Linked DNA regions of Arabidopsis thaliana. The protein of the gene in region 4 interacts with the protein of the main gene of each other region in a pairwise test. Each region holds a gene or a part of one and is shown on either strand. Other genes may lie near its edges.

Evidence for each region.
Region 1: the proteins of OFP2 (region 4) and BLH2 interact in a two-hybrid assay, tested with the Arabidopsis thaliana proteins (one large-scale study listed by BioGRID).
Region 2: the proteins of OFP2 (region 4) and BLH4 interact in a two-hybrid assay, tested with the Arabidopsis thaliana proteins (one large-scale study listed by BioGRID).
Region 3: the proteins of OFP2 (region 4) and bZIP43 interact in a two-hybrid assay, tested with the Arabidopsis thaliana proteins (one large-scale study listed by BioGRID).

Annotation. Positions count from the first base shown.
Region 1 is NC_003075.7:17,365,872-17,375,669, reverse strand, and holds BLH2 (BEL1-like homeodomain 2), read right to left. Parts: upstream 6,756-9,798; 5' UTR 6,498-6,755; intron 6,492-6,497; exon of another isoform or gene 6,315-6,491; 5' UTR 6,248-6,314; coding exon 5,069-6,247; intron 4,223-5,068; coding exon 3,831-4,222; intron 3,360-3,830; coding exon 3,299-3,359; coding exon of another isoform or gene 3,275-3,298; exon of another isoform or gene 2,843-3,274; coding exon of another isoform or gene 2,783-2,842; exon of another isoform or gene 2,535-2,782; coding exon 1,947-2,534; 3' UTR 1,659-1,946; downstream 1-1,658. Other genes in the region: CP1 (cysteine proteinase1), read left to right, coding at 169-404, 498-638, 724-978. UniProt on the Arabidopsis thaliana protein: Transcription factor that establishes leaf shape by repressing growth in specific subdomains of the leaf. Negatively regulates knox homeobox gene KNAT1/BP expression.
Region 2 is NC_003071.7:10,106,240-10,116,012, forward strand, and holds BLH4 (BEL1-like homeodomain 4), read right to left. Parts: upstream 6,767-9,773; 5' UTR 6,647-6,766; exon of another isoform or gene 6,540-6,646; 5' UTR 6,498-6,539; coding exon 5,541-6,497; intron 4,774-5,540; coding exon 4,382-4,773; intron 3,380-4,381; coding exon 3,163-3,379; intron 2,186-3,162; coding exon 1,712-2,185; 3' UTR 1,470-1,711; downstream 1-1,469. UniProt on the Arabidopsis thaliana protein: Transcription factor that establishes leaf shape by repressing growth in specific subdomains of the leaf. Negatively regulates knox homeobox gene KNAT1/BP expression.
Region 3 is NC_003076.8:15,536,786-15,541,867, forward strand, and holds bZIP43 (basic leucine-zipper 43), read right to left. Parts: upstream 2,105-5,082; 5' UTR 2,018-2,104; coding exon 1,520-2,017; 3' UTR 1,356-1,519; downstream 1-1,355. Other genes in the region: AT5G38810 (F-box and associated interaction domains-containing protein), read right to left, coding at 3,821-4,305, 4,437-4,755. UniProt on the Arabidopsis thaliana protein: Probable transcription factor involved in somatic embryogenesis. Acts as a positive regulator of BHLH109.
Region 4 is NC_003071.7:12,954,111-12,959,971, reverse strand, and holds OFP2 (ovate family protein 2), read right to left. Parts: upstream 3,528-5,861; 5' UTR 3,381-3,527; coding exon 2,418-3,380; 3' UTR 2,165-2,417; downstream 1-2,164. Other genes in the region: KIS (tubulin folding cofactor A (KIESEL)), read right to left, coding at 8-160; OFP17 (ovate family protein 17), read left to right, coding at 4,889-5,135, 5,223-5,563.

The DNA.
Region 1 (9,798 bases), on a different chromosome or scaffold from region 4:
TATGCTTTTTCCTTTATAATCAAACTGATATTATTAACGAACGTCTAATATTTACACATGGTTCGTAACAGAACAAACTTTTGTGTTATATTTTGTGTAACTTAACATGTAACACATGCAGCATGTGTATTGATGTTAATATTTGTGTTTGTGTATTGATCAACACAGGAAGTTGTTGGGCGTTTTCGACTACTGCAGCAGTAGAAGGTATAAACAAGATCGTAACAGGAGAACTCATATCTCTATCAGAACAAGAACTTGTTGACTGCGACAAATCCTACAATCAAGGTTGCAACGGCGGTTTAATGGACTACGCTTTTCAATTCATCATGAAAAATGGTGGCTTAAACACTGAGAAAGATTATCCTTACCGTGGATTCGGCGGAAAATGCAATTCTTTCTTGGTATACACTCAAAAACAGAGTTGCTCTGTTTTCACTTTATTTTCAAGAATTGCAAAATCTGATTATTTTTCCTATCTCTTTGTGTTTTTGCAGAAGAATTCTAGAGTTGTGAGTATTGATGGGTACGAAGATGTTCCTACTAAAGACGAGACTGCGTTGAAGAAAGCTATTTCATACCAACCGGTTAGTGTAGCTATTGAAGCCGGTGGAAGAATTTTTCAACATTACCAATCGGTAAGCGAACCGACATTGATTTGTGTATTAAGTAACAAAACCGGGTTTTTGGATTTTTATTAACCTGATTGGTTTTGGTTGGCAGGGTATTTTTACCGGAAGTTGTGGTACAAATCTTGATCACGCGGTGGTTGCTGTCGGGTACGGATCAGAGAACGGTGTTGACTACTGGATTGTAAGGAACTCTTGGGGTCCACGTTGGGGTGAGGAAGGTTACATTAGAATGGAGAGAAACTTGGCAGCCTCCAAATCCGGTAAGTGTGGGATTGCGGTTGAAGCCTCGTACCCGGTTAAGTACAGCCCAAACCCGGTTCGTGGAAATACTATCAGCAGTGTTTGAAATCAAGACGCTCGATAAACATTTGGGATTCTTATAACTGAATTTAATCTCGTATTGTTATTATTGTTTGTATGTATAGTATTTCAACAACAATTTCAAAAATTAGTTGATTCATCATAAGGATATAAAATTTATAAATCCTTATGTCGATCAATTTCTTTTTTATTCAAAGAAAGATTGTTTGCTTGTTTTATGTATTAAGAGAAATATAATAAAATGATATATTTCTTAAGAGCCATTGGTTTTCACTCCTTCATCCAACTAACAACATAACAAAAGTCGGTTTCTTCTACTTCTCCTCAATCTTCTTCTCATCAATTTTCATTATGCACCTCAAAAACAACATTTGTTTTTCTTCTTGTTTTCACCTGCTCTAGATGTTAACTAAGTGATCTGATAAAATAAGGTTTAAGCCGCATGTTCATAAATTCATTTTAGTCATATCTAGAAATGTCGGTGAGAAATTTATAAAAAACTGCATGAACACTGAACACATCTATAGAAACTTGTGTGATATCTATACAAAAACAGATACGCTAAAGCCCAATAAAAGAATTTTGGGCCTATCACTTTCCTTATTGATGGCCCAAACAATTGGGTCACCTCTTCAAGCTTGTATCATGGATTCATGGTAAGTGAATCTATATGATTGTAAATCAGTGATTTCGAACGATTTGGGACTGTTATGTTATAAAGTGAAGGTTTTCATTTTGAACAATTAAAGAAATCTCGAGAAATTAAATAACCAAGAATACAGATATATGAAAACAATAAGTCGTACAACGTACATTAGTTTTCGAAGGGATTTACGTATCGTTTTCTTCTCTTCACGAGATAGAAAAAAAAAAGCAGAGGAGGGCTAGACTAATGTATTGTTTTGACTTTTAAGAGACAAAAATAGATTTTCAATTAAAATAAGTAAGAATGGAAACTATAATTAATTAATTAAATGGAGTGACAAAAGCAAACTAAAAACCCCCAAACTCTCTAACGCAGAAAGAAGCGTCTTTGTCAGGCATGTTTCCAGCGTGGCGTAAACCAAGCGTGAGAGACACGTCACCAGTAGGGTTTGTCCCAAACCTTATAACGTTAACACCATCCATGTCAGCATCATCGAACCCACCTACACTTTGTTGACACGTGGCAACGGCGGAAAACGCGTCTGAGCCACCGTAACGAGAATTCAAGTCGTCAGAAACAGCGGCAGGAGCGGCGGCGTTGGAATAAGAGGAAGGGAGTAGAAGTGATGAAGCGTCGTTTTCGTAAGCATTAATGTTGGATCTTAGACGGTGGCCTGTCGCTACTGCTGCGTCTGCGTCTGATGCGTCTGGTGCGGTTGTCGTTGGAGTTTGTGAAGTGGTCCGAACGGCAGTGAAGTTGCTTTCATTGTTGTTGGATTTTGTGCTCTTGTCGTCGTTGCTGTTTTTTGTTTCTTGATCTTCTTCGTTCTCTTCTAATTCCTCTTCTCTTTCTCTTTCTTTTGATTCTTGTTGGTACATTTCTTCCACCATTGGTTTCCATAAACGAACCCTAGCATTTATGAACCAATTTGATACCTGAATAAAAGAGACAAAATTTTCACTAGTTGAATCATTATAATATCGAAATAAAATTGAGGGCTCTTTTTGTTTATTTGTCATTTGGTTATTTAATGTAGGGATACAAGAAATTGAGGGTTTCTTTGGGACAATTGAAAGCTGCAAACTTTGATGTACTTGAGGAAAAATGGACCCTTTTGCGTCTTTAATGTCGATCTCTTTCTCTCTCTCCTATGTTTTTGTATATATAAATATGCTATAATAATTTAAAGACGAATCCCAAGAAAAGCTAATGGTGAGTGGAAGGCAAAACACATGGTGTTCCTCTGTCATATCACAAACCAAACAAAGATAAGAAACAAAAACCATGCAATAGAGTCATCTCAGGCTACTAGTTAGTGTACTCGTACATGGTGTCAAATAATTTTGGCTTAGTCAAATTCGTTTTGAGTAACTACTAGTATTTATTATTTGATGTTTATAACAAGCATGTATATGTTTATGAAAATTATGAAATGGGTTTGGGTGATAAATTAATATTGTAGTTATATATATAACTGTGTACTATTGTGGAGTTTATTTATAAACATAGAATGATGGGTTTAAAACAAATCTTTAAAACACGCGGTTAAGAATTCGTAATCCAGACTGTGGTCATTTGATTGTCTGATTAAGAGTATACTCAGCTAACACAACTTGGTGAAGTAGAGGCATATGTATTTGATTCATGGAGATTTTAAATTTCATTATATCGTTGGCTATATGTATATATGTAGACTGACCTGATTTCTGGATAAACCAGTCTGTCGAGCCAATAGGTGTTTATCTGCATCACTTGGATACCTGAGAAAGAGACCAGAAAATGACATCACTCTCTATCTTTGCCCTAATAAACTCAATGTAATTTATTTTCTTTATCTTTTCACTATATACAATACAATCAAGTAGACGCAAGAAAAAGTACAGACTTTTTCCTAACAAGGGCGTGAGAATCTAACAGACAAAAGAAAAGTTGATGATTACATATCATCGATCCAGTTTTTTTTTTTTTACTTGGCTTTTTTTGTTTTGTTTTACTCTTAAAGCAATTTGTCAGAGAGGTGAAAATAGTACAAAAACACTACTCTTTTGCTTTATTTCCATTTTTTCGTTCACTCTCGTTAACAATAAAATAGCAAAATTCTAGAGACATAGTACTAAAGAAAGTAGAGGTGAAATAACGAGAAAATAAATACTTTTTCTCAGCTTTTTTCAAAATTCAGTTTCTCTATAATAATTAATAAATAACGAGAAAGAAAGAAAAAATTGACTTACGGGTGAAGGAAATGTTCGAAGAGCCAAGCTCTAAGTATATTGACGGAGCGTTCAGGCAAACCGCGTTGTGGCCGCCAAGCTTCTTGTTCCATCATACCCATTTGATGAAACGCACGGTTCTGACGCAAACTTTGCTCTAGCAAACGCAAACGCGGAGTTTCACCTTTTGTTAACCCGGAAGAAGAGATTCCCGCTGCATCTTTGTCCCCAAGAAGTTCGCAACTCTGCTTAAGCTGAGCCGCAACTGCATCTTTAAGGCATCTAAAATGTCTTGACATAGCTTTTTGAGCCAATGCGGTGTACGGTAATGCCGCACCGTGGCCCATTACTATGTCGAAAGAGTTCACAACCATCTGCATTTGCTCGCAGTAATGGTTGTACCGTCGGTCCACCTGCCAACGAAACAAAACTATACATTATACAATCCATAAATATCAATATTTGCCTTTTTCTTTTAATTAATGTTATTGTTAACTCGTGTGTGTTGTGTTATATGTTCACGTGATTATTATTTAGTGTAGATTTTATCACGGGAACCTATGCTTGTGTACGAGCATCATCTAATAAATAAACTAATGAGATTAATTAGTTACCTTTAAACGAGACAAAATAAGAAAATAAGATATTATATAGACAAATTATTGACCAGAGAATATACTTCAATGTTTGCGCAATCCTACCAACAGCACATTTTATCGTATCCTCGAGCATAAACTAAAATATTTATTTCTAGTGAGAAAAAAGCAAGGTCAACTAAAAAGTAGATAATTCAATTATGGGTAAACAAATAAGTAACGTCAAGGGTTAGCTTTAGGACGTAACTGGAGAGTAGCTTATATGGAGAAGGAAACGCCAATTACATAATTAATCGTAATTATTTAATGCATTTTCTTTGATTAATCGATTCCACCAAACGCTAAGCATCAAAATATTCAATATACTTTCTAATACGACCGTCACACGAGCAAAATGATTAAATTAATTTTAATTTTAAACAAATGATGGTAGGATTGCGCAATCAAACTCTACCAAAATAATCAAAAATAAGTAGTTAATCGAGAAAACAAAAGACCAATTCAGTCATATCAGGTTTCTTGTTTCTTTGTCATAACTCTTGGATCAATTTATGAATCTTATCGAAATGTAACGAAAACAATTTTACGTAAAATGTATGAACTAATATCACTGTAGAGTATAGACAAAGTCAAAATCAATATTAAAAGTTAATATGAACATACCTCTTCAAGCATGGTGAGTAGTTTCACTTTCCTTCTTTGATGCTCAATCCGATCAGACGCCGATAAAGGAGGATGCTCCTTGTTTGCTCCGGCCGACGAAGGAGAGCTGCCACCACCATCACCACCGCAAGTATTAGGGTTTGAGCTGTTCCCAAGTTTGTTCTTCTTCAAAAATCCTCTTCCAACACTACAAAACTCTTCCAACAACTCTTGCGCGGCCGTTGTGTACCTCGAGTTTCTTAAGATATTGACCGCTGCCATGGAAGAGGAAGAAGCAGCCGGAGATGATCGGAATTGGTTTAATACTTGATGGTGATGTTGAGAAGAATTAGCAAGAAGAGTCTTGAATTGATTGTATTGATGATGAGGTGATGCGTTAGAAGAATTGGCTCCGTAGTAAATGTTTCTATACTCTTCCGCTTTTGCTGCAGCCTCTAAAGACGATGAGAGAGATAAGGACAAGCCTTGTCCTCCGTGTCCTCCGCTGTTTTCCACGTGGACGGTCCCAATCTCCGTTTGGCTGTTGTGATGATGATGATGATGATCGGGAGAAGACTGCCACGTCGATATCTGCTGGTGATGCTGATGTGGAAGCTGATGCATAGACATATGATTAGTGTAGTTCTGATGGTGAGTTGTGTTGGTGGATGGACTTGGAAGTAACATGTGAAGAGTTGAAGAATTGTGGTGGCTCCTTGGGGAAGTTGTGGATGACGGAGACGGTGGTTGTTGCGGTGGCGGTGGATTCATCAAGAATAACTGCATGGCGGCTGCGGTGGCGGTGGCTGAATCCGTAGCATTCATAGCCGGAATATTCTGATGTTGCTCCTCAAGCAACTGCCTATTTGACCGGAAAGATTGGCCGAGGTCGAGATCTCTTCCTCCACCGCTGCTTCCGGGGAAATTAAACATTTCGGATAACATACCGGCTGATTCGTAGACCGGAATCCTACCTCCGGCGACTGAAGATTCCTCGTCCATCTCTACCCTTTGATGCTCTTGCTTCTGCTGAGTTGTTAAATTGGGAGAATCTGATCGGTCGAATCCATTAGAGAAGTTGAAGATACCTCCTTGGTGTTGATTATGATGATGATGATGATGATAATCTTGGGACATAGAATTATTGTGAAAAGTCTTCAAGAGAATTGTAGTATTAGGAGAAGTTTTAGTTATTCCCATATCAATACTTCAATCTTTTTCTTCATGATATATGTTAATATCGTTCCAGAGCTCTCTCTCTCGGATCCTGTAATGATTCAGACAAAGAATTTAAAACATATGTAAGTCAGAAACTAGGTCTTACGCTGTTTTTTTGTCCATCTATCTACATCACCTATATAACTGATGATGAACAAAGACATAGAGATATATATATGTAGGTATCTATATATATGTATGTATGCAAAGAGAGAGCATAAGAAGATAATACCTTTGGAGTTTGTTGCAGAGAAGATAATTGAGCTTAGGTATCGTTTTCTCTCTCTCTTTCTCGCTTTCTTTTTCTGGACTCTCCTTTTCTTTCTTACTAAGAGTTTATTCAGAATTCACAAATATTATAAAAGATATATATATCGGAAAGAAAAATATGCGAGAGAGAGGTCACTCTTCTTTCTTCTTCGTCACCCTTTTTAGCCCACCAATCTTCTTTATTAGTTGGTTTCCTATATATATATAAAGCTGCTCGTGCAAAAAAAAAATCGGTGATTTTTTAAACTATGGTTTCTTATGAAAGATTTAGTTGAAAAGGTTAATAGTAGGATTGAAGGATAGAAATTTCTAAGATGCGTCTTTTTTTCACGTAAATGTCTTCTGCCATTAACAATTTGAAGATGTTTATTTTCGTAATTTTTTTTTTTTTTTTTTAAGTGAGTACAAGGTCATATCTCAATGATACGAACCACCACCATAAATTTTAGTAATACTATCGTGACAAAAAAAAAAAACATATATAATATTTAAAATACTGCCATATTTATATTTCCCATAATACCCTCATCTGTCATTCTTCTGATTTCACTGGACTGACTCGCAGATAGGGTCAATTAAGTCCATATTTACGTAACTGGTCATTGTTGGTGCATAGCTCCCCAGTCCTCATCAGCATAATTTAAAGTCTACACATTTATTTTAAATGTAGCATATCTCTATTATCTTAACCTGGAATACCCTAAAAGATCTTCGTAAATAAAAAACTTCATAAAAAAAAAAAAAATCTTCTTAACGTTTGTTAATTTTTTTTTTCTACTACATCAAAATTGAATTTACTTACTTTATGCGAGAATATGACTCTCTAAAACTCCGTACGACTGGTCGTAATCACAACACCACAACAAATTAATCTCATATAATCAATTGATTTTAAGTTCTAACCACAAGTTAATTATCCCTTCCAATCGACTTTTCAGGGAAATGACAAATTAGTTACATATTAATTAGCATTTTCTAATGATAACATAATATATCCCACATACATATATACCAATACAGTGTTAAATAAAATGTAAGCTGTATTTTCTAACAATTAGCATGGCCGAAGTAATAATACTCATGCAAAATAATGCAAAGGCTAGAAAAAGTATATATTCAAACTATTTTTTCCGGCCATCGATCTTGTGATCATAAATTAAATTTTACTACTTGAGGGTCGAGTACGATGTAACTATGAATGGCTTGAAGGATAATGTAATGAAATTCGGTGTGCATTTTTTTTGTTTGGTGTATCAAATAAACAATAAAAGATGAGAGTTCGCACGAGCGGGAGTTGTGGTTTGGAACGTGTGAAAGGTAGGAGGACGGTTCAGAAGTCAAGTGCTCAAAATGTTAATTAGGTTTATGTGGGGGATAATCTAGAAAACCGATGAAATCGACACATAACCGTTTTTTTGGTTCAACAGCTTTGAGTTCGAGTACTTGAGTTTCTTTTTTTGGTATGGCTAGACTATATTTTTAATTCCATGGTTAATATATAGATATCGGAATTTCTTTCTTAAAGCGGTGACATATTTCGTATCACGTCTGTCTTGCTAAAAAAATAGCATTCCCAAATTCGAGTTTTGGTGCATATCCCACAAATGGTTAGAGAAAGTATTAGATATCGCACCGTAGGCATAAGTCCATATTGGGATAAATAATTAATGGAAATGTCGAAAGCACAAGTGTAACTCCACTTATATAATAACATTGAATTTTGTTTATTGTGTGACACCATGTGGGAATCTTTCATGTCAAAATCATATCAGCACGCAAATTCTGTTATTTTTTATTTTTTATTTTTACACAGTTAATTCATGTCGGAGTAGTAATTAAAATAAAATAAAATAAAAACACTCTGTTTTTCCATTTTAATATTCCCTAGAAACGTAAAATTTCATAAAAATACGTTGCAGGTTTTATTTTAAAATTATAGCTACAAAAGTTTTATGTTCCAACTACAAAACCTGGAATGACAATTGACAGCTTAACCTTTCTACCTTCCTACCGATATTTTTTCTCGTTTTCTATTTTTTCCTTTCTGAAATAGAAATGGTTCAATCTCTCTCACGTGAATCCCACCCTCCTTTCACACGTATGCACAACTATCTGTTACGTGCCGAACCTTCCTTTTTCGTACGTGTGGAGAGGATCTTCTTCTTAGGCATTTATACTCTTTACCCACCAAAGCCAACTTGTAATGGATCCTTTTTCCTCTGCTTTATCATATCTTCAATGGTGTCAATTGTCTAACCTTCAACATATTTATTAGTCTCTTCATTTTTATTTCGACACGTTTCCGCTTTTCGACCTCACATGAACATTCAATTTCATAGTATCGAATATTTTGATTGATTTTTTAATTTCTGCGTCTTATAACCAAAGCTATGTAATGTGTTTAACTGTTCATTATCATTGAAATGTGTTCGTAGTTTAATGTAACCGGTGTATTTTGGATAGCTCTTGGATCAGAAAGTGTGATCATGTTGTGAGGTTGAGTCATTTCGACAACACAAAGGAGACTAATTTACTTGCTATGATCAGTAAGAATGTAAATCTTTAGTTGATTTTTTTAAGGTTTTAGATGAATGTATAACCTATAAATTTGGTCCTACGAAAAACAAAAAACATGAAAGCAAAGACAATGAGTCCATAAAACAAAATGTTTGCTACCAAAAATCACAAACTTATAAAGAAATATTTACACAATTAGTTTTTCACGAAAACCAAATGATTATATATATACAAACTCGTGGTGATAAATTATGATTAAATATGAAATGTTATTATATATTGCAATGATCTGTTATATCTGTCGTGATAGGTTTCATATTACCTGACTATAACAACGTTGATTTCCAGATCCTGTTTTCAGACAAAAGGATCATGAACTAAGTTATTGTTGAAAAGGCTTTCATCGGGTTTGGTCTTTTAAGTACGTTGAAGGAAAAATTATGAGTTATCATCCAGATTCGATAAAATTAGAGTTAGGTTTGATTTGATTAAATGTGGTGCAATTGCAATTTGTTAGAAGATTAAAGTCACCACTTTCTCTAAAGGAGATAAAAAAAGGTTTGATTAGCCAAAAGCTATTACAAGGACTCATAATATAGTCTCATAGCCACGTAGGTTTGATTTATTGTCTAGTCAATATACCATATGGTTTCATATCCATCAATCGTCGTCATATGAAATTCTGCAAACCATTATTATGCCTCATGAGTTTGAAAGTTGCCGGAATTACATTCTTTTTTACTGAT
Region 2 (9,773 bases), 2.8 Mb from region 4:
GAAAAGATATTGTTGAAATTTTGTGATGGATACATCACAGAAAGTTCCATCATGCGGGCTAAAACCATGCAAAACAAATTATAAACATGACATTGACACAGAGTCTGTCAATGAATTTGACAGCAAATAAATATATAGGCTTGCGTATGGATCATTAAAAGGCAGGGCCTCCAATATTAAAATCAAGAATCTAACACTCATGCATATTGATTTTCTTGTCACGTTCAGATCTGCATTTAGTTTTTTTTTTTTCATATAACAAAGGACAAAAGAAGTTGCTATATTGTGCTTTTGTATACCAGCCAAAAATAATAATGAATAAAATCTGTATATGAAAATTTCCAATTTATATATTCTTTTATAAGAGTATGGTAGCTAAAGGACAGTGGTCAGACAAGAAGGGTTAAAAAATGGACCACAATACGATTGAAATAAATGTATTTAGTAAATTCATATCATATGCATTTAATGAGTTTATAATTTCAGGCTGCACCTTTATTTAGTCATAAAAATATAAGACGGAAATAGTTTAAGACGAACAAATTGTTGTACAAAATCATTTTGTTTGAGTTTAATTTATAGTCTTGTTTATAACTTTTATTACCTTTATGGACCGGTGGATCGATAAATTAACTTGAAAGTATGTTGCTCCCTAAATACTGTTCCGGGTTATTGGTTTCACCAAAGACATTTATTAAAACATGAAATGTCAAATCATGTAAGATTTATATTGCCAATTATAGTGTCATCATACTCTCCTAATAGAGTATATAAAATACTTCGAATAGAAATTTATTAGTTGTAAGGAATTAGGTGAAACGTAGATATTATTGTTTACTAAAATAATTGAAGTGACTTTTAAGAAAACCCTTTGTAAACAATTCAAGTAATGAGTCCTATTACAAAAAGTAATGAGTAGCACCATGGCAATGAGCTTAATGTCCCTTTGTAGAACTAAAACGTCTCCGTCTCGATTGACATATCCCCCAATATGACATGTAACCAAACCTTTGGAGTTTTGGATAATTGTTTCTCAGAGAAAAAAACTAAAGAACCTAACTCAAAAGATTATTTGTTTTCTTTTTAAACAAATATGTCACGTTTTTCTTAACTATTTTACTATAAACTGAAGATAATACAATTGTTAATAAGTCGATCGGGTACGTACCAAGTATATTTTGTTGCTATTACTAAATTAAGGAGCACATAGTTGTAGTAAGTAGGGATTAGTTGAGATGATTAATTTGATATTACAAGGAAAGTGATGTGACTTATTGGCGCTTTCCTAAAAGACTGTTGTCGCTTATTAGCAAAAATCAAATGGAAGAATCCAATAAATGCTACACGAAATTTAGTTTCCAGAAAATATATGTACATAATCATAATCTAAAACAAAATTTAGAGTAATTTGGCAGGGGTATTAATATGAACAAAAAATTAGTATGAACAAAACTATACAAAAATGTAAGGATATAAGTTTCATGAATAAAATAAAAATATGTGCATAATTATATATGGAACTTTGGTAGCTAGATCTCACTTGATATATGTATATCTCTCTTCTTCTTACGACAGAAAAGACAGAAAAAAAAACTAAAGAAGAAAGGAAATTTTAAAAGTATGTGAAGAAACTAAAAACATATATCGATAAACCAAAAAAATAAAATTCACTATAATAAATTTTGATGAATAAATTGAGAAACAAAGAAGACTAAAAATCTCCAAAGTCTCTAACGGAGAAAGAAGTGTTCTTATCAGGAATATTGCCAGAGTGGCGTAGACCAAGCGTAAGAGACACGTCACCAGTCTGTTTGGTCCCGAATCTTATGACGTTCACACCATCTCCGTCGACGTGGAAGTCACTGACGTCTTGCTGACACGTGGCGACGGTGAACGCGTCTGAACCGCCGTGAGAAGCGGCGGCGACGGAAGAGAGGAATGAAGAGTCGTTTTCGTGATGTGTCGATGTCATCGTCGTTGGAGTTTGTGCGGTTATGACAGTGAAGTTGTTTTCATTGTTGTTGGGTTTCGTGTCGTTGTTGTTTGTTTGTTGCTGTCTTCTTTGTTGTTGTTGATTTTCATTTTCTTCTTCTGCTTCTTCTCTTTCTTTTGCTTCTTGTTGATACATCTCTTCCACCATTGGTTTCCATAGGCGAACCCTAGCATTTATGAACCAATTTGACACCTGAAAAAACGAGACATATGAACTAATATTAATCACAATTTACTCTTAACAAGTTTATAATATTAAAAGAAACTTAACTTTTAGAAGGAAAAAAAAACTTTTCAATGAAATGTGAAATACTCCTTTTTACATTAAATATGGTTTTGATTGTTTTTGTATATACTTCATTTGTTTTATATTAAGTAAAGTTAAAATAATAAGTCATTTACTGTGAAGAAAATTAGTTTAAACAAATGAAACAAAAAAAATAGGATAGCTAAAACCTTAAGTTAAAATGATAGGAAAGGAGTAAAAATTATGATACATGTGTTTCCTTTGAGACATCTATTAAAAAGAAGATATATATTAAATTTTTCATTATATTCTTACAAGAACAAGATAACTTTTGACATGTTTCAAGTAATTTTGATTTGATGTTAACTTATGTATTTACTGAAAGGCTTAGATGAAATTTCTAAATTAAAAATTTGAAACATAATAATGTTTTTTTATTTGAACACATGAAACATAATAATGTTAAAACAACAATTTGAAGGTTGAAATATACTAATGGATATTTGAAGCCAAGTGTAATAAACTACTTGTGATGTAAATAATTAATGTGTACAAGACTTAGAGGTCTGCTAGTTAACATTGAAATGAAAGCTTCAAACTTTCATGTACTTGAGAAATACTTACATCTCTCTCTCCTATGTTTTATATATCCTTGTGTGTGTAAGTGTAGATAATGTATTTAATGAAGAAAACGAACCCCAAGAAAAACAAATGATTCGTGATATTGAAAATCCATGCAAGAGAATAGACATGAAGCCACTCATGTCAGATTTTGCATGATGAAATGATTGATATATATGGTAAATTGTGAGTTAAGTACATATATGTAAATGAGTAATTAAAAGGGTTCTTGTATGATAAGTATGAAAACATATTATATTAAAAAAATATTGATGTATGTATCTATATAGATAAAGGCTGACCTGATTTCTGGATAAACCAGTCTGTCGTGCTAAGAGGTGCTTATCAGCATCGCTTGGGTACCTGAGAAAGAGACCAGAAAATGACTTCACAATCTTTAGAACCCTAAACCAATAATTTTTTTCTTTTCTCTTTTTTTGAATATAGATAGAGAGGAAAAACACAATCAAGTAGATGCAAGAAAAGGTACAAACTTTCTCCTTACAAGGGCGTGAGAATCTAAGGGACAAAAGAAAAAGCTGATTTCAGAATAGAAGCATTTTATTTTATTTTTGTATCTTAACTTATTTTTCATCATAAAGCAAAATATTTATCTGTACAACTCTTCTCTTCTTTACTTCACTAACAACAAAATAGTAAAATTCTGCAGACATTAAATAGAGAAAGTACTGATGAATAATGACAGAAGAAATTGCTTTTTTCAGCTTTTAGATTTTTTTTTTCCTCTTTTTGATTTCTGTCTTTCTTAAGGGACAATATACCAATGAAACTGTACCACTGACAAATCTGAGACTTATTTTTTTGTAGTTATGTTAATGGCATTGTTACTTCTTTTGATAATAGTATGTGGAATGAATTAAAGCAAATTAAAGAAAAAAAAACTATAAAGGAAAGGTTAGGCAGAGACAGAGAAACCCTTAGGATGCTATTATGATCCCAAAGCATAAAAGTTTGCGATCTCACTCTGCAAACTTCTTTTGTTGCATTAATTATTTAAACCCTTTAATTTGCCATGCAATATAACCTACATTAATATAAATATAAACATACAGTTTTCATGAAAGTCTCCTAGTCAATGAATTGTTACCCTTGTTATTTTGGAGTACTCTTAGCTGACCATTCTTATGGGTGGTATGAAAAGGAAAAAATATTTGATATTTAAATTTTTATTAGTAGTAATAAACATAAAATAATCAAACTCAGTGAAGAAACGGAACTTCATTTTACAAAAATTATTTTGGTTTTCTAAAAAAGCCAGCAGCTTTTAATTTTGATTGAAATAGAAATATATCTTCCCGCATAACAAAAGAGTTATAAAAAAAAAAATTTTTTTGTCACTTTCATAACTTAAGTTTAATAAACGTATATTAGTTAAAGTCTTGGTATCAATGCATTATGGTAGTCTACATTTTATAATGTATAGTCAACATTCAAGAAGATTAGTATTATCGAAGAATAAGAGTAGGTAAGTATTATTAAGGGATTAGAAAATGGACTTACGGATTAAGAAAATGCTCGAATAGCCAAGCTCTAAGGATATTAACGGAGCGTTCAGGCAAACCACGTTGCGGTCTCCATGCCTCTTGCTCCATCATACCCATATGATGAAACGCTCGTTGCTGACGCAAACTCTGCTCTAGCAAACGCAATCGCGGCGTTTCCCCTTTGGTTAACCCCGAGGATGCAGCCCCTGCCGCCTCTTTATCCCCTAGAAGCTCACAGCTGCGTTTAAGCTGAACCGCTACCGCGTCTTTCAAACACCGGAAATGCCTAGACATTGCCTTTTGAGCTAATGTCGTGTACGGAACCGCCGCGCCGTAACCCATTACTTGGTCGAATGAGTTCACTACCATTTGCATTTGTTCGCAGTAGTGGTTGTACCGTCGGTCCACCTACAAATTAAATTTTAAATAAATGAACTATACATAGATGAGTTCTTGTTTTTTTTTTATTAGCTCAATTTCTAAGATAAAATATAAACCTCAAGTGATTAGTTCGTTTAGATACTTCAATGTGTTATCTTCTCTTGCTAACAATTTATGCTATCTTGGAACATATACTAAATTCTTGAAAGAAGATAATGTCAACTACAAAATAAATTGTAAGATAAATAATGAAGTAACTTCAAGGACTAGTTTTGGTTACGTAGTGAAGGTGGCTAGCTTATATGGAGAAGGAAACTCTAATTTAAAATTTATGGTTGTGAAGACTAAATCACTTAATCAATCATATATTAATTTCTTATGTTAAATTTGATTAAGCGATGCCACCAAACGCGTGACACAAAATATGCATTAATATATCAAATTAGACCATATAACACCATATAATGATATTAGTTAGAAAAATTATATAAGTGATAGTAGGATTGCGTAATCAGGCTTTACCAACTAGAGCATGTGTCGTGCTCTTGTACCAGTCGGTCATTCTCTATACATTTATTTTTTTAAGAAAATAACATATATAGAGTTTATGAAAATATTGGTCGATTTAGAATTAATTATATAAGAAGAAAAAAATCACGAAGAAAAATAAAATTTTGTAGCGATTGATATGAAATTGGTTGTTTGATCAATTCAATCATTAGAACGGTTCATTAAAAGTTTGATAGAAAATTAATTAGTTTGGTTAGAGAAAAAATATTGAGTGAAAACGTTACCTCTTCAAGCATAGATAGTAGCTTGACTTTTCTTCTTTGATGTTCAATCCGATCAGCCGGAGACAAAGGAGGACTATCATTAGCTGTTCCGGCCGATGACGAGGACCCTCCGCCTCCTCCTCCACCGGTAGTATTAGGGTTTGAGTTGTTCCTACTAAGTTTGTTCTTCTTGAAATGTCCTCTTCCAACACTACAAAACTCTTCCAACAACTCTTGAGCCGGTTTCGTATATTTCGAATTCCTCAACGTGTAGATCCCTCCAATGGATGAAGAAGCCGCCATGGGAGATGATGATGATGAACCAAAATGTCCAACAACTTGATGGTGATGATGTTGAGAAGAAGAATTCTCAAGAAGAAGATTCTTGAACTGATTGAATTGATGATGATGAGCGGATGCGTTAGAAGAAGAAGAAGTTCCATCAACGGCTGCACAATAAATGCTTCTATATTCCTCGGCTTTAGCTGCGGCTAATGAAGATGAGAGAGATAAAGACAAACCCTTTCCTCCTTCCACGTGGACGGTTCCGATCATATCTCGGTTTTGATGATGATCGGAGGAGGAAGATGGCCATGTAAAGTGTTGTTGTTGCTGCGGCTGCATAGTGTTTTCGTCGGTGAAAGCAAAACCTTGATGATGATTTGGTAATAACATATGAAGAGTTGAGTTATTGTTGTTGTTGTGACGGTTTTGTTGCTCTAGCAACTGTTTAGTAGACTGATCAAGAATCTCTCCACCGGAACCGCCGCCACCTCCGCCAGGGTAAGCAAACATTTCAGACAACATTCCGGCGGTTTCATAAACCGGAATTTGAGCACCGGAGACGACGGCGGATTCATCTACTTCCTCTTGATGAGTGGTTGATGATGATCGGTGGAATCCATTAGAGAAGGAAAAGATTCCTTGGTGATGATGATAATCTTGTGACATAGAAGAAGTTGTAGTAGCTAAACCCATATCTTGTTATTCATTATATCTTTTTTCCAAAGCTCTTGGATCCTGTAAGGATTCAGACATACACAGAGAATCTTATATAACACATACAAAAAAAAAATACAAGAAAAAGAAAGAGAGAGAGAGAGAGAGGAGTCAACTAGGTATTATACAGTTTTTCTCCAATCTCTTTCTTGTAACTCTTTTAAGGTTCTCACTTTCAGCTTCGGTCATCATCTACATATATGGTATAGAGAGAGAGAGAGAGAGAGAGAGGAAGTACCTTGGAGTTGCAGAGAATTAAAGAAATGATTGATGATGAGCTTATAGCTATCGTTTTCTTCTATACCTCTCTCTCTAGCTTTCTTTTTCTTGAGTACTCTTTTTATTTTATATTTCTCTGTTAGTGAGAGTTTTTATTCAGCAAATTCTGCAAAACCAAAAACTTATAAAAAAATCTCTCCCAAAGAGAAAGGAAGAGAGAGGGAAGAGAGAAGAAGAGGTCGCTGTTCTTTCTTCATCGCCTCCCTTTTTAACCCACCAATCTTCTTTAATATTTTTTTGTTATTAAAATCTTGATTTATCATTTTTTTATAATGAAGTATTTTTATAAACATCTTCTTTTTAATTTTAATCGGCAAAGGTTTCTTCATATCAATAACGATGAGGAGGAAAGACAAAAAAAAACTATACACATCCTGAAATTACGAAATTATCCTTGTTTTTTTTTCTTGTCTTTTTTTTTTGTCAACGTTATTATTTATTTATAAGAGAAAAAAAAACTTTTTATCACGGAAATGTCGGCTGATATCAACATTTTAAAGGAGTTAATTTGGAAACTAATTTATGAAAGCAAACTAAAAAGAATAGGAAGATAAGGTGAGTCCAAAGGTCATATCTCAATGAACCAAACCACCACCATAAATACTTCCACATATTTTTGTGCTTCAATATATTCTTATTTCGAGCCAAAATAAAATAAAATAAAATATTCTTATTTGACAAATTAAATACTTATATAATATTCCTATGATGCTCTCTAATTTTATTCTTTAATATTGTGTGTATTTGTTGTTTAGGGGAGACCTATGTCATTTTAGACTACTTTTTCATGTATGTACATTTATTCAATTAACTAATCATACGATATATCAAAAATCGATCAAATTATAATATGAAACAAATGAAATACATAAAAATCGATCAAATTATAATTACATTTTGGTAACATATGTGGCTAAATCAATTATTTTAAATTTCTTTGCAGAAACCGCTATATTACATCTATCATCACGAAATCGTAAAAAAAAAAGCATTAGAGATTACCTCAAGCTTGATATGATAAAGCAAAAATCTAGCTGCAAATCGAGGTTGTTTCATTTTGTGTTAATTGATTAGGAAATATCTCATTCTGTGTTAAACGATACTCTCAACTTTCAAAATATTATTTTATATCTATATTAATTAATAAAACTTTATCACTCAAAGATTATTGAAATTTTTTTAAAATTGCTTTTTAGATTACCCATTTTAAAAAATATCCCTTTAACAATAATATTTTTAAAAATACCATTGTTTTAAAAAAAACCTTGATGTTATGACAACATGCCTGATGACTAAACCTCCAAATCATCTTTACAAAATATTTACTAAAATCCAAAGATTAATCCTCTGCACGATTTCACGGTCGGCCGATAGCCTTTCACCATCATCGATGTTTGTAATATGTAAACCATCCACACACAACTAATGCATGGAAAAAACGAAATTTTATGGTTCTGTAGTTTCACAACTACACCTTCAGCTATCTCTTTTTCTAAACCTATACTTATAAAATTAATTTCAGCCATACATTATAATGACGTTGTATAGATACAAACACAATTATTTTCTGTTAAAATTAACGTATCATTAGTCATTACATTATCCTAGGTATATTAAATATTAAAAAAAAAAAAATTTCCAAAATCGATTTGACGTGCGTATCCATCCCACAAACAGTTAGAGAGACATGTTGGATATATGCTATGTAGGTTATAAATCCACAATAGGATAAATACTAATGGAAGGCTTGAAAGCAAAAGTGAAAAGCCCACTTGTATATATATCTATGGAGACTTATGTTGGAATCTATCATGCCAGAATCAGATACCAAATCGAAAATTGTGTAGCACGCAAATTTTTGTTTGAACTATTTACTTAATCTAAATTAATGCAAGTGATTTCTCAATAAATATTATTTTTTGCTAACGGATAATTTAGAATATTTTTGTTGCCTATAAGAAATTGGACTATTTCCTAAATTCAAAACTGTTTGGTTATTTCTACCAATTCAGCTACTTCATAATTGAAACTTCGTGCTATTTTTGCCTCTCCCCACCTTATATATATCAACATAATTTAAGTGACCCCAACAACGCTTACCAAATTATTTATTGTTTTGAAAACACATTTGTTTGTGTGAGAAAATATGTGTAAGTTATTTTTACATTTCCTATATGAATCGTGATTCATGGGCAGCCAAGTAAATGATTAATATTTCATCGAACTAAATCAAAATTTAAGTTTGTAAATAATCAAAATTAGAAATATTTCTCAAGCCACTTTTTTATTTGCACAACTTTCTCCAGCCACCTAAAATCTTATTTTCATAGCTCACGTCCTTGAAATAGCAGAAAATTAAAACAGAAAACAAAGAAAGAAGTTACATTAAAATTCTCCAAATATACTTTTATGATTTTAATTTTCACATATTTTTTTTCTAACTGCAAATGGGATTGACAGTTGACAGCCCAACCTTCTTCACTCCTACCAGTATCTTTCTATTTTCGATTTATTTTCTATGTTTGAAAACTAAAATTTGTTTTCCGAAAAAAATAGTTTTTGGTCGGGTGAATCTCTCACGTGAATCCCACCCCTTAACTCACACGTATGCACAACCATCGATCACGTGTGGAACCTCCTTTTTCACACGTATGGTGTGTCCTTTATCCTCCTTTACGCATTTAATAGATAGGTAACTCAAAACATGTAATGGATCCTTTGGTTTTAGTCTCTTCAATGGTGGTTGCAAAATCTTCCAAATATCTCTTTGTAACTTCATCAACACGTTACTCTCCTCTCGTCCTCACATTCATTGATTCTTCAATACTGGATACAACAATGTCGATGAATCATTAACAAAGCACTAAAAAATAAACGTCGATACAAAATTTGTGAGTTGAAAATCTTATATATAGGTTGTAAAGGCGTATTGTAAATAACTTTCTTAAATTTTTTATATGTAGAACTAAGATAATC
Region 3 (5,082 bases), on a different chromosome or scaffold from region 4:
TCCTAACGGACCCTTCTAATAAATTAGATTTCACTGGATCCAAAATCAAAATGAATTAGAACTAGTAATGAGTTCTTTGAATATTAGTTAAGATCTCTTATACATTATTTAAGGGCTTTTTAAAAGATGATATAGGATCCTACCATTTCCAAAGACCAATGAACCAATCATCGAACGAAAACGAAGCGAGGAAAAGAAATAAAACAAACATACTTGTCTCAACTAAAGAAGTTACTTTAGTAACATATATAGACTACAGAGACTACTTTAGCTCACACACGCACAAACCTATATATAGGCTGAGATTGTGATGTATATTTATACAATAATCAAAGTGAAAAAGAAAAGAAAAAAGATGGATCGATGATTTTGAGAACTGGGACCAAACTGTTATTATTTTGACTTACCAAAAAAACAAAAACTTATGTCATTTGTTCCTGTCCTGACCATAAAGTGTTGTGTGTTATATTGAATTGTATTTCCAGCTTTTGAGGTGGTTTAGAAAAGCTGTCTCTATTTCTTTCTTCGGCTTTCAATCGCAAGTGTCTCTTTCAGTCTTCCACTTACATTATGTTATGTGATTTTAGTGGCTAAGCTCTTTGTTTTCTTGGCCGGTAAGTTTCTCACCCACACGAATTCGAAGAAAAAGCCGTTTGTTTTCTTGACTGGAAAGGGGTCTCCTTTTACGTAAGATTGTTTGTTTGTCTTCTTGTCTGAGATTGATGTAAGCTTGATTTAACATTTTATCCAAGTTATAGGTTTACTTATGCCGCTGAACAGATTTACCAATAATCAATAGTGTAATTTAGGTTTTTAAAAAATAGCATTAACTGCTTTCTAAGCCAAATCTTGCAAAACCTCAGTCCATGCACTACCAATACAAGGTACTAAAATAAAATAAAATACAAGGTACTAAAATACTACAGATAAAAGCTCTTCTTTGCTTGACATAATTAGATTTACGAGAGTTTCACACACAAGTACACAACCATGTAAGGTCTTAATTGTTTTTGTTTGCGTTAGATTTACGTATTTGCTTTTCATATTCTTATTATTTTAATCACAATCTTAATTCTTTTCTTAATAATTTTTCAACATAAAAATGCAAATGGAAATGGAAGAAAATAAACCGTTTACGGCTGGTGTATATTTTTTTCAAAGACACTACTTAAGCCAATTTAGAAAGAACAAAATTGGTCATTATAAACGTAAAATTTTAAAGAGAAAAAGAAGAAAGTCTACTGTTAGTAATTGATGCTTGTATTTACATTTTGCAAAAATATTTATGCATGTAATTTTTTTTAAAATTATACTTCAGCAATGTGAATTTTTATCGTTTGTTATGCAAACAATTGTGAAACAATTTCTTACTTCTATTCACGGGCAACACAAGTTTGAAGAACTCTGCTTTAACAATTACTAATTTAGAGTCTTAATTAAATCTTAAGCTGAGACAGATCTCTGGATATACATTTGTTGATACATACTAGAGCCCCAAAAAAATAAAAATAAAAATCATCTATACAACGTCGTCGTCGTCTCTGATGCAAGAGAAAGGACTCTGATTCTGAAGCTGCATATCACTAATCATTTGCTTAAGCTCAGTGGTTTCCTCTTTGAGCTGAACATTCTCTTCAATAACCTTCTCTTGAGACTCTAAAACGCAGTTAAGCTTACGAAGCAGCTGATGATTCTCATCCCTAAGCCACATCACCTGTGACCAAAGCTCATCCACTTGTCTCTGCTTCCTCATACGCGATCTTCTTGCCGATTCTCTGTTAGATATCTTCCTCTTTTGCTTCCTCTCATTTATTATCTCCTTATGATTCTCTTCTGCTTCATCTGAGGTCGAGTTGTTGCTGCTGATCAAACTCATGAACTGTGAAGTGTTCACGCCAGTTTCGAAGCTGAAGAATGGATTAGGGTTTTGTCCGCAAAATGGTGAGGATGTAGGAATATGGGAAAGGTACGAAGGTGGACAACCATGGAGGCTAAAAATGTTGGTGGATGGTTGCATTATCGGTGGAGACTTGGGACGCAAGGTAGGGTTTACTCTTAGGTGATGGAAGAAAAGAAAGATTGTAGGATTTAGGGAATTGTGATGAATGTTTGGTGTGTGTGGTGAGAAGAGGTGTTCATATAGACTAGTAGGGGGACAATTGTGGACCATGGTTTCTTCATTTGGGTCAAACCAATATAAAAGCATCTAACAATCATGCAGCTAAAACGTGTATTTATATAACTTTATTTATTATTTAAAAACACGATCTATTTTTTCACCTATAAAATTATTGAACTACTTAGAACGAAATCTAAATAACTTATTTTTTAAAGCCTGTCTAAGATTTATTAGAAGTTGGTTGAAGTCTTAGGGTGAAAAATGGCTTTGTAAATGAATGATTGGGATTAATTGAGTTTTTCTTTTCTTTCAATGGCTAGGAAACAAATTGTTTTTTTTTTGTTGTGTGGAAATTTCAAATATCTTTCAACTTATTTTTTAAAACCTATCTAAAATTTATGAGAACTTGGTTGAATTTTTGGGGTGGAAAATGGTTGTGTGTAAATGAATGACTGGGAATAATTGAGATTTTTCTTTCTCTCAATGGCTAGGAAACAAATTTGTGTTTTTTTTTTTGGAAATTTAAAATAACTTTCAACTTATTTTTCTGCAAAATAGTAGATAAATAAATTGAACAAACTACTTTTATAATTTGGTCAATTTTTTTCAATTTTGAGTTGAATGAATTAAATCATTTTTTAATAATTTATTCATCTTAAATAGTAAACGTTTGGAGAAATTTCAAAATGTCCATTTTCTAATACCGTACCACCACTTTTTGAAAATGACTTCTATCTAAAATCTTTTAAATATTTTATTATATTAAGCTTGGTTTAATATATATACATGTAAAATTACACATTTAGAAAAAAGTAATTAAAGCATATAATATTTTATAGAAGTGTCGGATTGACACATATAGCAATCATGCGTAATTCTTCATTTTCGTCGTATTTTGCTAAAAGTTCGACCTATGTAATTAGATTCTGTTAGGGGAAGGGTGGTGATTTTGAAATTTAACCTTTTGAAACCCAAGAAACATATGGGCTTTTATAACCATCCAAATTTATATTATCTTTAATTTTTTTTTAGTGTTGTTAGAAAAAAAAAAAAATATTACGTGATGGACTTAATTAGTACTAGAGGAAAGCATCTCATCAAGAAGAACAGAAGAAGCATAAACAGACCTATGAATGAGACCTTGAAAAGGTTGAGAGAAAACAAATTTAAGAAGCTAAGTGTCCAATTCTTTTGCATATTTGATGTGTTCGTTTAGTTTTAATAAAGCATAAATCTTTGTTCATAAGATCTCAACAGAAAATGAACTACAAATCTCTAATCAATCTACAGTGGTATTCATATCACATGACTTTCTTGTTTTAACATCAATTCTGACAATTCAACTATTCAATCATTGACCACATCGGTTTCTTAACAATCAAGTTATTGGATATAGAGAGCCCTCTTCACCTAGGTAAAACCTCATAGGCCTTTTGATAACCATACAAAAAAATATTAGTTTGCTCTCACTCTACGCCAACAGGGTGATAAAGCTCACACGTAAGTAACCTGTAAATGACAAGTAACACTCTTAACCAAAATAGCTTGACTCGTTGGCTTGGCTTTCAAGATAAGATCCTCACTCTGAGTTACCTAGTAAATCGTACTTGTTCTGCAGGAGGATTGCCTGCTTGTTCTTTACATGTCGACGTTGTTGTGGTTTTGACTTGAGTTGCTTCGAATCGTCAATACTAAGATCCTCTATATAGTCAAAGGCAAAAACATTGCGAAAATATTGTCGTTTCTAATCCGATTGACCTTAATCTTCGGCAAGGAGTAGATATACTGTGACCATTCCTGTTTCTCAACATCCTCTAGAACCCACACACACAACTCACGGGGATGTCCATCACCAGCATCACACTCCAATTTAGTCACACCTAATTTACCCTTGTAGTTTATAAATTCTCTATGAAAATTAGAGAAGTCTTTTCCATCAAGAAACTTGAATTTCTCAGACCTAACATTAAAGGAAACTACTAGAAAACACGATGTCCTAGCAAAGTAATACAAAACCCCATTGATGGATAAGGCTCTACCATAATAAGGTTCATGGGTTAAGGGACATATCATCTTCCTCCACTTCAAATTTTCAGTTCCTAATGTCAGAATATAATGAACCCATTCTTTATTGAGTCTCTTGTTCATGCACAAAACCTTATGTTGCTTGCCAATCGGATCAAACCCTAAAAAGCTTCTTGACGTTTTGTAGCCATTTGTTCAGGTAAGCTAACATAGCGTCCTGTGATAGGGTTAAATATCACACAAACTGAAGCCTTTGAGGTCCAAATATCATGGACAGGGATATGGAACAAACCAGAGACATAGCTACACATGTATAGGTTCATGTCTTCATGGAACTTCATATGATTATGAAAATCTACTTCAAGGGACGGATTCTGAGACTGAGGCGAAGAGTAGAATATCAAACCACTTGCTTTTAAGACCGCAAATAAAAGACGTGGACGAGCGGATGACTTCGTTATGAACAACTCGGTGAAATCTTGACGGTAAAGTATGGACGCCCATAGCTTCGACACGCAACGACACCGAGCGATTGACTTTGAAGACAATCTCAATGCTATCTCCACAAAGAGATCATCTGGAATGGAATCAAAAGTTTTTCTACTTTCCATGATCAGACGGAGAAAGATCTTTGAGAATAAAAATCTCACAGGCTCACTCTACAAATAGATTTGGAATAAATCTCTTAAGAGGTCGACCTAATTAATTAGATGATGTTAATTAATCTTAGGGAGGTGGTGGTGAATTTGAATCCTATTAGGATCGATCGGCACTAATTAACCTAAGGCCCAAAAAATATGGGCTTTTTAACCATCCAAATCTTGCTTTTTTGAAGACCCTAACATATAGTATTTCACAAGAAGTCAATCAAGAAAGGACATGATACTTCATTTTTGGTCACGCTGCTTCGCTGCGTGACTCACGCACATGTTAACTTA
Region 4 (5,861 bases):
TCTGTACCTGTTGTTTAAGGTCGTAGGGATCAGCACCTTTGTCCTTCATATCAGCAGTCTTAGCCGCTTCTCTCTCAACTTCTTTCTCATAAGAGTGAAGCTCTTTCACAATCCTTTTACATGTTGATGTTTTTATCTTCAAGTTCCTTATCGTTGCCATTGGATTCTGAGCAAGTACCAAACACAGGACAACCAAAATTAGGGTTTCTACATCACCAGCGAAACAACTCAAACGCAACGATTCTATAACTAGGTTTTGCGATCTCCTTTAAACTTCGATGTCGAATTTGAAATTGAAATAGGGCGATTAGATCAAGACTAATGTAGGTGATAATTCTACGATTCGTGCATTGCAATAGATCGGGAACATTTTGGAATTCATCGATTTCTTTTACTTGATTCCGATCTACATTGAGATCGACACAAAGCTAGATTCGATTGAAAATTAAAGGAAGATATACTGTGAAATAGAAGAAGTAGGGTTTAGAAACGAACCAGGCGATGATGGGAGAAGAAGGTTGCTTCCGATGAATTTGAGAGAGAGGACGCGGCGTAGAGCGAGGAGGAATCGAAGAACAACAATATACAGTTTCCGATTTCGATTTCTTCTTTTTCCTTTGCTTTCAATTCTGAATTATTAAAAAAAAAACTTAATACTGGATATGCACTCACTTGTGTGCTCGCATTACGACATAAAAATGTAATTTGAGTTTTATTTCATTTCTTTGACAAAAAAAAAAAAAAAAGTTTTATTTCATTTATTTACCCTTTTTTATAGATATAAAATATGTAAATCAAACTTTTATATCGTACAATTTAAGTATATATTTTGTGTTTTATTATGTCAAGTTCATTCATTAATTTTAAATTTGATACAACAAAAGAATAATGTAGAAAGTCAAGTATACAATGATGGATGAATGGATTTACATAATGCTTTTTTGGTACGTAAACGTTAGTATTTGCTAACAAAGTATTAGTTGCGTTATTTTTTTCAGAACAATCAATCCTAATTTTAAATATTTTTATTAAAAACACTATGATACATATTAATTTACATTATAATTTGTTATTGAAAATAAAAACGGAGCAATTTTGTCATAGGTTTTTTTTTTGTCAACCACACAAAAATGGTTTACAAATTACAATGTAACTTTAAAAAATGGTATACAACTACACTAACAACCATAGGTCACAAGAAACCACACTTGCTATTTTTTCTAGATCCAAATTTCACAATTTAAAACCACACAAATTTTCTAGAAGGAATCAATATTTGGAATGCCATTTAATAAAACTTTAACTGTTATTTTTAAATATATTGAATTTAAAACGAACTTTGAATGTTTGTGTAGTTTTAGACGAACAACTAATTTGTCAAGTTAGCTAGGTGATCAAGATAGAAAAAAGTTCGTGTGAATCATATTTTGTTCATGAAAATTTGGTGTAGTTTATGGTTATGAGGTTATCTCATATCTATGTATAAAATTAGAATGTAGAATTTTGTCTGACATACTTGTTTAAAACTTAAAATTATGATACATATATCACCTATTCTTTTTAATTCTTAACTTTATAATCCAAAACTGCAAGATCATTTAGGCCCATTGATTTGAATATTTGTTGCTTATGTTCACTCAGAAGTCAGAAACCATACCATATCACATGTCTTTTGCTGAAACTTCATAAGCCAACTGTGGTAGGGGATGGAATTTGCAACAGTGGTCCTCTTCTTCTTCTTCATGAGTTCATTCTTCCCTTCTTCACAGAAAAAAAAAAACCCTTAAGGATTAAATCTCATCACTGTTTCTTTCTTCTTTAATCACATCTCAGTTTTATGTGTCAGTGGTCCTCTCTCTACCTTCAACGATTATCCAATGTTCTTCATGCATATATATAAACTCCGTACTTGTTGCGTTTTCAAATTGTTCATGTCTCTTCACTGTTGTCTTTTTCTTGTTGCTGTTTACCGCCATTTTCAACTTTGTATTTTCAAAATATTCAAATGATATTGGCGCAATTAATCCATCTTCATATTCTAAGAAATAATCAAATCTTGAAGCATCATCTTTTGTGAGTAGTTTTATATGTTCATAATCATAGAGAAGACAAGAATATGTTTAATTAGTGATAAAAAAATCTGTCTTAATTAACAGTGTTTTCACGCCCTTAGTGATCATGTTTGTATTAAAACGACAATATGATAACAACTTTTATTATTTGCTTACATTTTCCAAAAAGATAAATAAAGAAAACAATACATAAAAAGTGGGATTCAAAGAGAGAATCTCCACAGTTCCATCTAACTTCTTATGAACATCAACAACAAGTCAACAACTACAATTTCACAAGCAGAATGATACTAATTACTTTCACCATTAGGTTAACTACTATTACATTAAGAATTATTTTTTTCTTTACTTTGTTTTTGTAAGTTGAAGCCAGATTTGTTCGAAAACATGGATGATAAGATCATGATACTCCTTTGGATTCAAAGTAAGGTAGCAAGCAAGAAGGTCTTCCAAGTCTTTCGAAGCTCTGATGTTGTTCTCTTCTATCATCTCAATCATTGATTCCCTGAAATCTTTCTTTGGATCAACGGACCGCTTCATCACAGCGAAGCTCTCTAGAACATCTTGTTTGCTCTCTGATCTTCTAGAAGTGCTTCTACGAGTACCTGAGAGTTGAATTCTAGGTGAATTCACTCTTTTGAGGTTTATCCCAGCAGATGGTTTTCTTCCACTAGAAACTTGCCTTTGGTACTTCTTCTCGGCTTTATATTCATTATCATCTTCATCTCTTGAAATTTTCACAGAAAGATGGCTTTTCTGCGGTTTCTTAATCGGCTTGCTTGCAGTACAAGCTTTCTCTACCGAATCAATCACTTTGACCTTCTGCTTGGTGAAAGCTTTGTTCTTTGTGTTGATCTTGAAGTTGGAAAATTCAACGAACTCATCATCATCATCCTCTTCGTAGAAACTATACACAAAAGACTCAGGGGAGGTTTCAATAGCCGGGAACAAGCTGTAAGACGAATCTTGATCGTTGATCTTGCTCTTGTTGAAACTTGCAGATACAAGAAGAGGAGGAGGAGTCAAAGGTTTAAGGGATGGCTTGTAAAGTGTCTTTCTTTTACTCATCTTTTTTGTGTGAAGAGAGTTTCTTGGTGAGTTATGGTGAGGAGGATTGTTAGCTACTAAGCTGTTGGAGAAATAAGAGTGTTGAGGAAGAGAATCTGAGGAAGGTTTCTTCTTGCTACAAGTGTTTGAGGAAGAAGAAGAAGCTTTGTTTTTGGGTTTAGAGTGTTTAGTCACGTCTTTGAGCTTGTGGAACCATGCATTTGGGAGCATCTCTGAAATTCTGAACTTGTAATTCCCCATCTTGTCTCTCTCTTTTTCACAAAAGTTTGTGATATTTCTCTTAAGAAAACTCTGTTTTTGTTTCCTTAGATAAAGAAGAAGGTGAGAAAGCAAAGTTCTCTATGTGACAGATAAAGAAGAAACTGAAGATTAAAATTGGAAACTAGTGGGGCTACTACTAGAAAAAGCTTAAAGAATGTCTTTTATTAGTATCATCATCATTCATCATCAACATCAACTTGAGACATCACATTTACACGCTTGTGCTCACATAATTAATAAATTTATTTTATGGTGAATTTTTAAAATTGGTTGACTAATTGAAATTGTATTTGGTGAAAAACTGAAAATCATAAGAACATAACTTTTATCTAAAATATTATATAATTAAGGGAATAGTACAAAAATAATTATAAAACAGAGAATCAGTTGCTTCTGATTTCTGACAGATTTCTATCATCATTTCATGGAGATTTTACTCTTCATCGAAATGATAAAATAACTGAAAAATGTAATTAGCGAATTATAAAACAGTAGCAAATGTAAACAGTTTTAAAGAATACACAAAAAGGTTGACCAAATGGCAATTACAAAAGAAAAATACAGCTTCTTTTCCTCGAAGTATGCTTTTTGATTGAAAATATTAAAACGTTTCTAAACGGACAAATCAATTTAATAAATAAAAACAAAGTTTTCACAATTCAACTAAAAGTTTAACATATGTGAATCTATCTAGGTTAAAGACTCAAAGTACACGTTATAATGAAGTTCAATAGTTTCATTTCGATGCTTCTTTGAATTTGGTAAAGTGTGAACCTTATCTTAAGTTTTTAGGTAGAAATAATTTAGTATAGTAGCACTTTATGTTATATTAAGGTGATACAGATACACAAATGATGAAATTAAGATAATCAAATATGTTCCATTTTCTCCTCTGAATAAAGTGGGATCAACTTTTGAGTCATAATAATGAATATGAGAAATTTTTTGGTCTACTTTGTCCACTAACGCCGAACATTTTGAGGACACTTTTTTTCTTCTTCTATACATTTCCACTTTCCAGATCAAATGTTTTGGCAACTACTTATCTTTTAACTTCGAGAAGGAAAAAAATGATATTCAAAAATCAAAATAAAACATTTTCCATCCTTACTTTAAATAAGCACAAGTGATTATTCATATTTAAAAAATGGAGATATTTTCACTAGACGTGGGACTGGTTTATGTTCAACAATGTTGACCTACCAATATATCAACGACTTTTTGAGTATACAAAAACAAAACTATCTCATCATATTGGATTTTGTTTATAAGCAAGAGCCACCAAACATTTGCAATAAGAAAACCTTTTCTATTCTCCATTGTTTTTAAAAACTTCATGGGACTCCACCATCATGATCAGTTTCACACCCAAAGACGTGAACTCCACGCAACACAAGCCAATCCTCTAACCTTATACACACCAAAACAAAACAAGAAGCCAAAGAGGATCACAACAACAACATCATCACCAAAAAAGCTTCAAGACAATGAGAGTGAAAGCAACTTTGATTAACTTCAAATCAAAGCTTTCGAAATCATGCAACAGATTTGTCTCTCTCTTCCGCTTCCGAGTTAAAAGACCTGTCTTTATTAGACCTCTTCGTGCCCGTCATGGCAATGTCAAACCTAGACATCAACATCATCATTCCAAGAAGCCAATCTGTTCTTGTCTCTGTTTCCTCAATTCAAGCAAGAACCATAAGATGAGCAACGCCAAACATAGAAGTTCCTCTTGTAAGACAACTTCGCTACAAAATCTGTTTTAACATTGAAATTTTATCAGCTTCTTGATCTCTTTGTTCTCTTATTTTGCCATTGCAGTTAGTGTGAACGATGATGATTACTCCAAGTTTATGCAATCACCTCTTACGCCAGCAACAGCCAAGAAGCTCTTCACTTCACCCATCACGACACCTTACTCTTCACGGACCAGGAAATCGCTGAACGCAAGAGATACATTTGAAGACAATGCTGTGGAAGATGCTTGTAGAAGCTTTGAAAACTATCTGATTCATCTGATTGTTGAAGAAGGGAAAATAGATGACTTAATGGACATAGAGGAACTTCTCTTCTGTTGGAAGAATCTTAAGAGTCCTGTCTTCATTGAACTTGTCTCAAGATTTTATGGAGAACTCTGTAGAGACTTGTTTTCAGGTGAATGAACAGATCTAGTTAAATTGATCAAAACAAAAATGTTTTAAATCTGTATCTGTCAGTACTTGTGGTTTGACAATTATTGAATACAACATCTAAGGTTTCTAAGTTTAAAGTTGGGAACAATGTGTGAAGACTATAAAAGATTGTATGTTTCGGTCAATACCGGTCGGACCGGTTCAACCGGATTTACTTACCAAACTCGTCTCTTGCAATTTTATTGTTGAATAAAAAAATTATCACAACTGTGTGGACACGTGTGGTTCTCCGTCCTCACTCCTCAAGCCCCTTTCATTTTATCCCAAC